Macaca fascicularis: one gene and its partner. The main gene of each other region encodes a partner of the protein of the gene in region 2 in a complex. Links are inferred from orthologs where the notes say so. Each region holds a gene or a part of one and is shown on either strand. Other genes may lie near its edges.

Evidence for each region.
Region 1: the proteins of S100A10 (region 2) and HLTF are in contact, whole or in part, in a crystal structure (PDB 4HRE), measured with the Homo sapiens proteins. The link is inferred for Macaca fascicularis from reciprocal best matches to the Homo sapiens genes S100A10 and HLTF. Residues at the interface, in NP_002957.1 of Homo sapiens: Phe42, Asp58, Leu59, Asp60, Gln61, Gln70, Ser74, Leu75, Ala77, Gly78, Leu79, Ile81, Ala82, Tyr86; in NP_001305864.1 of Homo sapiens: Thr32, Phe33, Phe34, Pro35, Phe37, Phe39.

The regions. Positions count from the first base shown.
Region 1 is NC_088376.1:51,897,661-51,902,019, forward strand, and holds the start of HLTF (helicase-like transcription factor), read right to left. Parts: upstream 3,064-4,359; 5' UTR 2,866-3,063; coding exon 2,846-2,865; intron 1,414-2,845; coding exon 1,206-1,413; intron 1-1,205. UniProt on the Homo sapiens protein: Has both helicase and E3 ubiquitin ligase activities. Possesses intrinsic ATP-dependent nucleosome-remodeling activity; This activity may be required for transcriptional activation or repression of specific target promoters.
Region 2 is NC_088375.1:109,196,888-109,200,664, forward strand, and holds part of S100A10 (protein S100-A10), read left to right. Parts: intron 1-3,238; coding exon 3,239-3,391; intron 3,392-3,777. UniProt on the Homo sapiens protein: Because S100A10 induces the dimerization of ANXA2/p36, it may function as a regulator of protein phosphorylation in that the ANXA2 monomer is the preferred target (in vitro) of tyrosine-specific kinase.

The DNA of each region.
Region 1 (4,359 bases), on a different chromosome or scaffold from region 2:
CATAATCTAGTATTTCATGGTGGTATAAAATAATTATTGAAAACAATGTAAGTTTTGAAAAATTAGCACAAATCTGAAACAGAAAAGCTCAGAAATGCATATGAGAGCTAGAGAATACATAGATACGAAATAAGAACTGATAGATTTCAAGAATCTATTAGAAAAAACTAGAGGCTGGGCACAGAATCTCAGCGCGTGGGGAGGCCAAGGTGGGCGGATCACTTGAGCCCAGGAGTTCCAGATCAGCCTGGACAACATACCAAAACCTACAAAAAAATACAAAAAAAAATACAAAAACTAGCTGGGTATGGTGGCAAACACCTGCAGTCCCAGCTACTCGGGAGGCTGAAGTGGGAGAATTGCTTGAGTCTGAGAGGCAGAGATTGCCGTGAGGCCAGATCAGGCCACTGCACTCCAGCCTGGGCAACAAAACGAAACTTGGTCTCAAAAAAAAAAGGGAAAAAAAAAAAATCCAATTCTCTTAAGTGAAAGAGAAAATCACACTGGCCTGAAAATTCTATACAACATTAGGATATGGAGAGAAACTATATATTACAAAGATTTTAAATTCAGCCCAACTGTCATTAAGTCCTTCACAACTTTCATTTTATGAAACTGTCATTCATAAAATGCCACAATTATGACAAAAACTTAGGAAATACTGTTTCTCCCTAAGGAATCTCCTAGACAACACATTTCAGACAATCAAAAAACAACTTGTAAAGTTCCAATGTAAAGGAAATATAGGAGAAAAACAAATCCAGAACATGAAACTCCCAAGGAATCTCCTGCTGAACATGCTTCAGACACCCAAAAATAAAAAAGATTTAAGAAGCTTAAAAGTAAGAAACATACGGAGAAATGAAAGAATAAAATCCAGAAGATTTCACAAAACTACCTCCTTTTTGCAACAAATCGATGACATGAACAAGGCACTGGGGTGTGGGGGCGGGGTGTTACCCATAATAACTAAACATAACGCACTGAGACCAAGCATAGTGGCTCACTCCTGTAATCCCAACACTCTGGGAGGCTGAGGTGGGAGGGTCACTTGAGGTATTTTTTATTTTTGGGGTACAAATATTTCATTAACTTAAAGTAAAATAAAGATGAACCGTACACATCACCTGCTAATTCTCTTATTTTCTAGATTAACGCCACAAATATAATCAAAATTTAATTTAGTTATCTACTATTATACTCACTACTCCCGTGTAATAGCGTAGTCCAACCACATGACCTCTCAAACTTCCAAATAAAACGGAATCTAGTTCTTCATCACTAGTTAGGAAGTCATCTGGAGGGATAACATCTTGGAACTCAAAACGTGGAAAGAAAGTTGGATATGAGAGGCGTGGAAAATTTCCATGAACTCCATACTGCACAATCTGCAAGTACTTCCAAACAGGATCCCTATTTTTTTTTTAAAGGCAAAGAAAAACAGTATTTAAGTACTTCCAAAGACCATATGAGTGGTTTTCTCATGCTTTACTTCAGCAAATGAAATCTTACATGGGAATCACAGTAAAGATTAATAGTTAGTTACTCTCGTTAAAGCAGGAATTGCAGTGAGTGGAGAAGGCTTCCCGGGAACTTTACCTGTTTTCAATATTGGCTCTTCTACCTGCCCCCTAGGAATTCAAAATGAAAAGCCTAGTCAGAGCTCACTAATATCTTTCCTAGTGAAAATCATCTAAACTGAAATGTATATGATGTCTGTAAATACAATTATGGGCCAGATGTGGTAGCTCACGCCTGGAATCCCAGCACTGTGGGAGGCAGAGGCAGGTGGATCACCTGAGGTCAGGAATTTGAGACCAACCTGGCCAACATGGTGAAACCCTGTCTCTACTACAAATACAAAAATTAGCCGGGCGTGGTGGCGCACATCTGTAATCCCAGCTACTCGGGAGGCTGGAGAATCTCTTGAACCCGGGAGGCGGAGGGTGCAGTGAGCCAAGATTGTGCCACTGCACTCCAGCCTGGACGAGAGAGCGAGACTCCATCTCAAAAATATAAATTATTAAAAAAATAAAATTATATGCCAAAATTTCAATAGGGATTCAGCTACAAAAGACTTACAAAAATACAACTACTATTGTATACGAAGTTGTTTATAATTTTCCAGAAAATACATCCAGCATCCATCACTGTAACTCCCTCCGAGCAGAACACTTACTTTATTCTGGTATCTAAGCCACGCCACCGTGGGAAATTGGCCCCAAGCCACCCGTACCCGCCTCCCGTCGCTGGTTTAAGCATTACCCCAAACCCGTTACGTGTAACTGTTTCGGGAATGACCATAAAAACCAATTTGGACAATGAAAAGTGAGGGGAAGTCTACTGGAGCATTGCAGAAAGTTTCCATTCTCCTAAGAACAGTCGCTTATTTGCGCTGCGTTTTCCTTGCAAGTGGCGCATTCTCTCTATTAGCTCCTCTGCAAATACGTATCTGCACGTCTGTGCATACACATAAGCTGTGAGCCACTTGGGGACAACGGCTGGCTTACTCGGCCCTCCACCGAGCATAATGCCTGCCGCACAGTGGGTATCTAATGGATGTTTTGTTGAATAACGCATGGGCCGAGAGGCTTTAAGCCCCAGGCCCCCCACAGTCGGTGACAGAGATTTCCCAAGTCCCTAACACGAGACTCGCCCTAATAGCCCCTACTCGCCAGCCAAGACAATGCATTTATTTCTCCCGCGGCCACATATGCGACCAACAGAACGAATACAGCTGCACAAATCGCCCGGGGAACGTGGAGGAACGCGGGGAAGGTCAGGTTCATTTGGGGACGCCTCCAGGCCCTTAGCCCCAGCGCCCCACCCCCTCCGCCCCCTTCACCTCTTGAACATCCAGGACATGGCGCTGAGTGGGATGACAAGAGGAGCGCCTCGGCTCCCCTGGATCGTTCTCGAGCCGCCTCGATACGCCTCGTTCCAGGTCCCGCAGCCCTGAAGCCGGGAACAAATTCCGAGCGCCGGATAAGGAGCGTACGACTGAAAGATAAGTCGCTGCGAGTCTAGTCAGACGTCGACGCTGTCTCCTTCTAGCAACAATCTGGGAGACCAGCGTCGCTCTGTGACTGGCACTAGGAAAGCCCAATCACGAAGAGAAGAGTGCGGAGCCAAACCAATCAGAGCACAGAAGGGAGGGCAACTCCGCCCCGCTGCCATTCAAAGACTGCGGGGGGTCCCGGCTGCAAGGGTGGTTCCATCCGGGTTCTTCCCCGCCCCCAAGGCGGGCGCGCGGGAAAGCCACGAGGCCCCAGGAGTGCGACTGCGGTGCCTGCGGTGCCGGCGTTTTGTTTGATTCCCTGCCTTAAACGGAGGGAAACGACTTTCCTTTACCCCACAAGTCCTAAGACTCAACCCCATTCTAAAGCCTCTACCGTATCCTTCCTCTTATTTCCTCCTCATCTAATGTGGCACGTAATAGGGCGTTATACTGAAGGAGCTCCACGGTTTACGAGACCTGGAGCTACCGGCGAGATACTTTGTTTCATTCCCTGTGGTGAACCCTGGGGACTTTCGCTCCAAATTTTCATGCTAAGCCTCAGCGTATGGATGAGACACAACGAGTTTGGAAAATCTTAAATGGAACTTAGAGTCCCCTCCCCACCTCTTTTCGTTATTTTTAAGGAAAATTTTCCTTTCTTGGTACAGGAAAGCCATCACATGTTTATCACAGCTATGGGGGCGTTTGCCGGAAATGGTGGACAGGACCCTTTTCCCAGTGGGCACGTGGCTGCTCCAGCCCAGCTGGGGAGACCCTTGTTTTCCCCAAGGAACTGCAGAGGGGCGCTCTGAGGCCCTCCACGGCTCGCTTTCCAGAGTCTGAGGTGACTGGAAGGAGAATGCAGCCCTGGGACCGTCAGCCTTGGACCAGCTGCAGCCCACGCCTATCAGGGCTGGTCCCTGCGCGTTGGGGATGGAGAGGAGGCTGCTGTCCCCGAAGGTGGCCTTTTAATCGCACAGGGCGGGAAGCCGGTGATGGCGCCGATCTGCACAGGCGGTGCCGTGTAACTGCCAGAGAATACTTGCCCGTCACAGAGAGGTCCACATTACACGCCCGTCAACACAATAATACTAGGTGGTCAGCTTTTCTTTTCTTTTTTCTTTTTCTGTTTTTTCTCTTTTTTATTGAGACGGAGTCTCGCTCTGTCCCCCAGGCGGGAGTGCAATGGTGCGATCTTGGCTCACTGCAGCCTCCACCTCCCGGGTTCAAGCGATTCTCCTGCCTCAGCCTCTCGAGCAGCCGAGATTACAAGCGCCCGCCACCACGCCCAGCTAATTTTTGTGTTTTTAGTAGAGATGGGATTTCACCATGTTGTCCAGGCTGTCTTGAACTCCTGACCT
Region 2 (3,777 bases):
TCCCTGAAGAGCTTCAGTTTTAGCGGCTAATAGTCAGTGTTGCAGACAGCCCTGCCCAGGCAAGCCCTACCCAAGAACGGAGGGCCAGGCAGGGCTGACTCAATCGGGTAACTGTTGGCTGCAGTCATGATTCATCCTCTAGCCAAGAGAACAGTTTTAATCACAACATTTCCCCCTTTACTTTGTCTTATTTTAGAGCCAGTGTGCAGCTCCTTCAAAACAGAGTTCCTTGCTGTGGCCCTGGTCAGTGCCCTTTGGGGCACTGGTTACTGAGGAGACAAAGGCTTCCCCCCTAGTTTTCAATGCTATTTTCACCTCCTGGCTAGCCCCTGCTCTGCATCCTTATTGCAGAAGGTCTACTGGACACATAGGGAGTCAGCTGGCTGCAGTATTCATAACCCATCCACTGAATAAAACAGCTGGGGGAGGAGGGGAGGGGAGGACACAGTGGGAGAAGGATGTAACTTCAGAGAGGGAAGCTCCATCACTTCGTAATGGCTGTGGGCAAGAGAGACATGGGACTGAGTGACTTCAGACCTGAGCACTCACTTGCTCTCTTGAAGAAGATACTCAAGGGTGGCCAGGATTTCCTCGACTGACAACTTGTATTTCTTAGGAGCTCCTAAATTCGCCTTTTTAAAATTTAGAGGTCCTTACCCTGCTGCATTCCCTTTCTTAATTCTGCACTTTCCTTCTGCCCTGTCATCTGAAAAAGGTAAACTAGGTACCCCACCCAGTTCCAATTTCTGGGATCTTTGGGAATTGATCCTGAAGTGCTCTGCTGCTCTGAACTTGAGCACAGTTATTTTTAAACCTCTGTGGTGTCTGACTCCTTTCCTGAGTTATTTAAGAACTGGGGTGAGATCCCATGTCCTTCTCCCAGAGGTGACTCGCCCAGTTCAGTTCTCTTAAATTGCTGGACTTGGAGTACCAATCTAGGCAAGGCAGACTCTCTGTAAGCCCACTGCCATCTGAAGCCCATATGAGGGATGGGGGATGAGCCAGATCTGAGCTGTGTCAGAAGAGAAGGAAAAGGGTGTGGTTCCCCTGGAATTCATCTCACAGCAGACCCTGAAGCATTAATTTGCAGCTCTCTCCAAGATAACTAACTACCTTTCAGATGACTCATGCCAGATTTTGATTTATAGCATTCTTTGGCCTGCTGGTTCCCATACTTTTCTGGAGATTAATGGGTAGAATTTACAATTCTTAAGTGTTAATTGCTCAATCCTCATGTTTACCAACTCCACCTTCTCCTCTGTAAAAGAAAGCATTTGAGAATCAGTGTTGAATAGGCATCTCTCAGAGACAGGAACCAGACCAAATTATGTCTCAGGTTCCTGTTAGAGTTCTTCAGCAGAGGAATTTGCCAGCCCTTCAATCTAAACTCAAAGCGTATTCTTGTGATTTATTTATTTTTATTTTTTAGTGCTATATTACAGTCTCCATTTGTGTTCACCTGTTTCCTATCCAGTAGTGATTTTAGATGATATTAGCCAAAGCTTATCTGTTCTGGCCAAATGATTCCTTCCAATTAAGCCAAAATTCACTGAGGTTCTATTAAGTACCACATACTGGGTCTTGATGAGACATATACCCCTAGTTCATTATGCCTGAATGTAATGATCTGACATGTTTCCTTTCCTTTCTTATAAATGCTTCATGATGAAAGCTCTTGCTCTCCCAGTGTACCCCAGACTGTGAGAGCAGCGCATCTGTCTAGTGTCACTAAAAACATAGAAGACCCTCAAATGAGTTAGGTTATAGTATTACTTGTTGCTTCTCAAGTGAAGTAGACAATGGACTTTGAGTAGTTTTTTTATTTGGGTAGATCAACTGCATTTTACTGCCAGAGATGCAGCTGTCTTTATTGCAATAAATAACAAGTTCAGAACTTTAGTAAAGAATACATATATACCCAGCAGATAAATTCATTTGTAAGCAGATTTCTAAACCCTAGAATCAGACTGAACCAAGTTACCACGTTAAGCTTAGAAGGTTGAAGTTTTCATATTCACCAGGCTTGACTGTGTGTATTGTTAGTATCAGCCATATCTAAGAATCCCATTTACTAGTGCCAAGAGAAATTATGAACTATCTGTTCTTTCAGTAGGTGCTTTGTCAGTAAAAAGAGGAACACTGGGCTGGGCGCAATGGCTTACGCCTGTAATCCCAGCACTTTGGGAGGCTGAGGTGGGCAGATCACCTGAGGTCAGAGTTTGAGACCAGCCTGCCCAACATGGCAAAACCCCATCTCTACTAAAAATACAAAAAATTAGCCAGGCGTAGTGGCGGGCGCCTGTAATCCCAGCTGAGAGATTACAGGAGATTACGGGAGGCTGAGGCAGAAGAATCGCTTGAACCTGGGAGGCGGAGGTTGCAGTGAGCCGAGATCACACCACTGCACTCCAGCCTGGGCAACAAGAGCGAAACTCCATCTCAAAAAAAAAAAAAAAAAAGAGGAACACTGATCTTGCTTTTCTAAATGATTAGAGTTTCTGTTCTTTATTAGGTTATTTATGCAAATTAGCTGGAGTTAGATAAACCCCTTTATTTACAGCACCAGTACCTGAGGTGTCTATTTCTACCAACAAGAGACCCAGACTAGGGTGGTCTGGCTCTTAGATTCATTCACTGAATTTTAAAGCTGGAGAGGATCAGATGAATGATCTCATCTCCATCATTCCAATTATCCTAAAAAGGTTGGCAATACATATGGCTTAAAAGTTAATGTAAACCCACCTAGATGAACCTGGAGGACATTATGCTTAGTGAAATAAGCCAAGCACAGAAAGACAGTTACCAGATGATCTCACTCATGTGGAATCTTAAACACTGAATTTCATAGAACTGAAGAATAGAATGGGCTGGGGTGATTGCACTGGAGTGATGTTGAGGCAATGTTAGTCAAAAGATACAAAATTTCAGTTAGGAGGAATAAGTTTAAGAGATCTACTGTACAACAATGTGACTGTAGTTAATAACAATGTATTGTATTCTTGACAAATAGTTAAGAGTGGCTAAGTGTTCTCACCACAAAAGTGCTAACTATGTGAGGTAATGCATATGTTAATTAGCTAGATTCAGTCATCCCACAATGTATATATACCTCAAAACATCATGTTGTACACGTTAAATACATACAATATTATCTTTCAATTTAAAAAAAAATAAATTCATTCATAAAGTCTGCCAAAAGAAGTTAATGTAGACCCTGTTTCTTTACATCCTTTAATAGGCTTCAACAGACCACACCAAAATGCCGTCTCAAATGGAGCATGCCATGGAAACCATGATGTTTACATTTCACAAATTCGCGGGGGATAAAGGCTACTTAACAAAGGAGGACCTGAGAGTACTCATGGAAAAGGAGTTTCCTGGATTTTTGGAAGTAAGTGTTGAAAGGCTTACAAAGAACCAGACATAAAAGTCAGTGCTTCTAGGCCTTGGTTCCTTTTCCTTCTTGTTTCCATCCCTTCCCTGTGGAGGTCACCACTAGTGAATGAATGAATGTAGTCACCTGAAGGAAGGAAGGAATGAATGAGGTCATTCATTCATTTATTAAATAATATTGAGTACCTGCTATTTGTAAGATACTGTTGAGGAAATAGAAAGTAATGAAGACACGGCGCCAGCCTTCAAGGAGCTTACAGTCTGCAGGTGAAATAAGACTACATACAAATAACTACGATGTGAGCTGTTTGTTGGAAAATCCCATCTGGTTATCTGTGTCTGTTGTGATGATGTTGGGGACAGAGTTGGGAGAAAGAAAGCTTT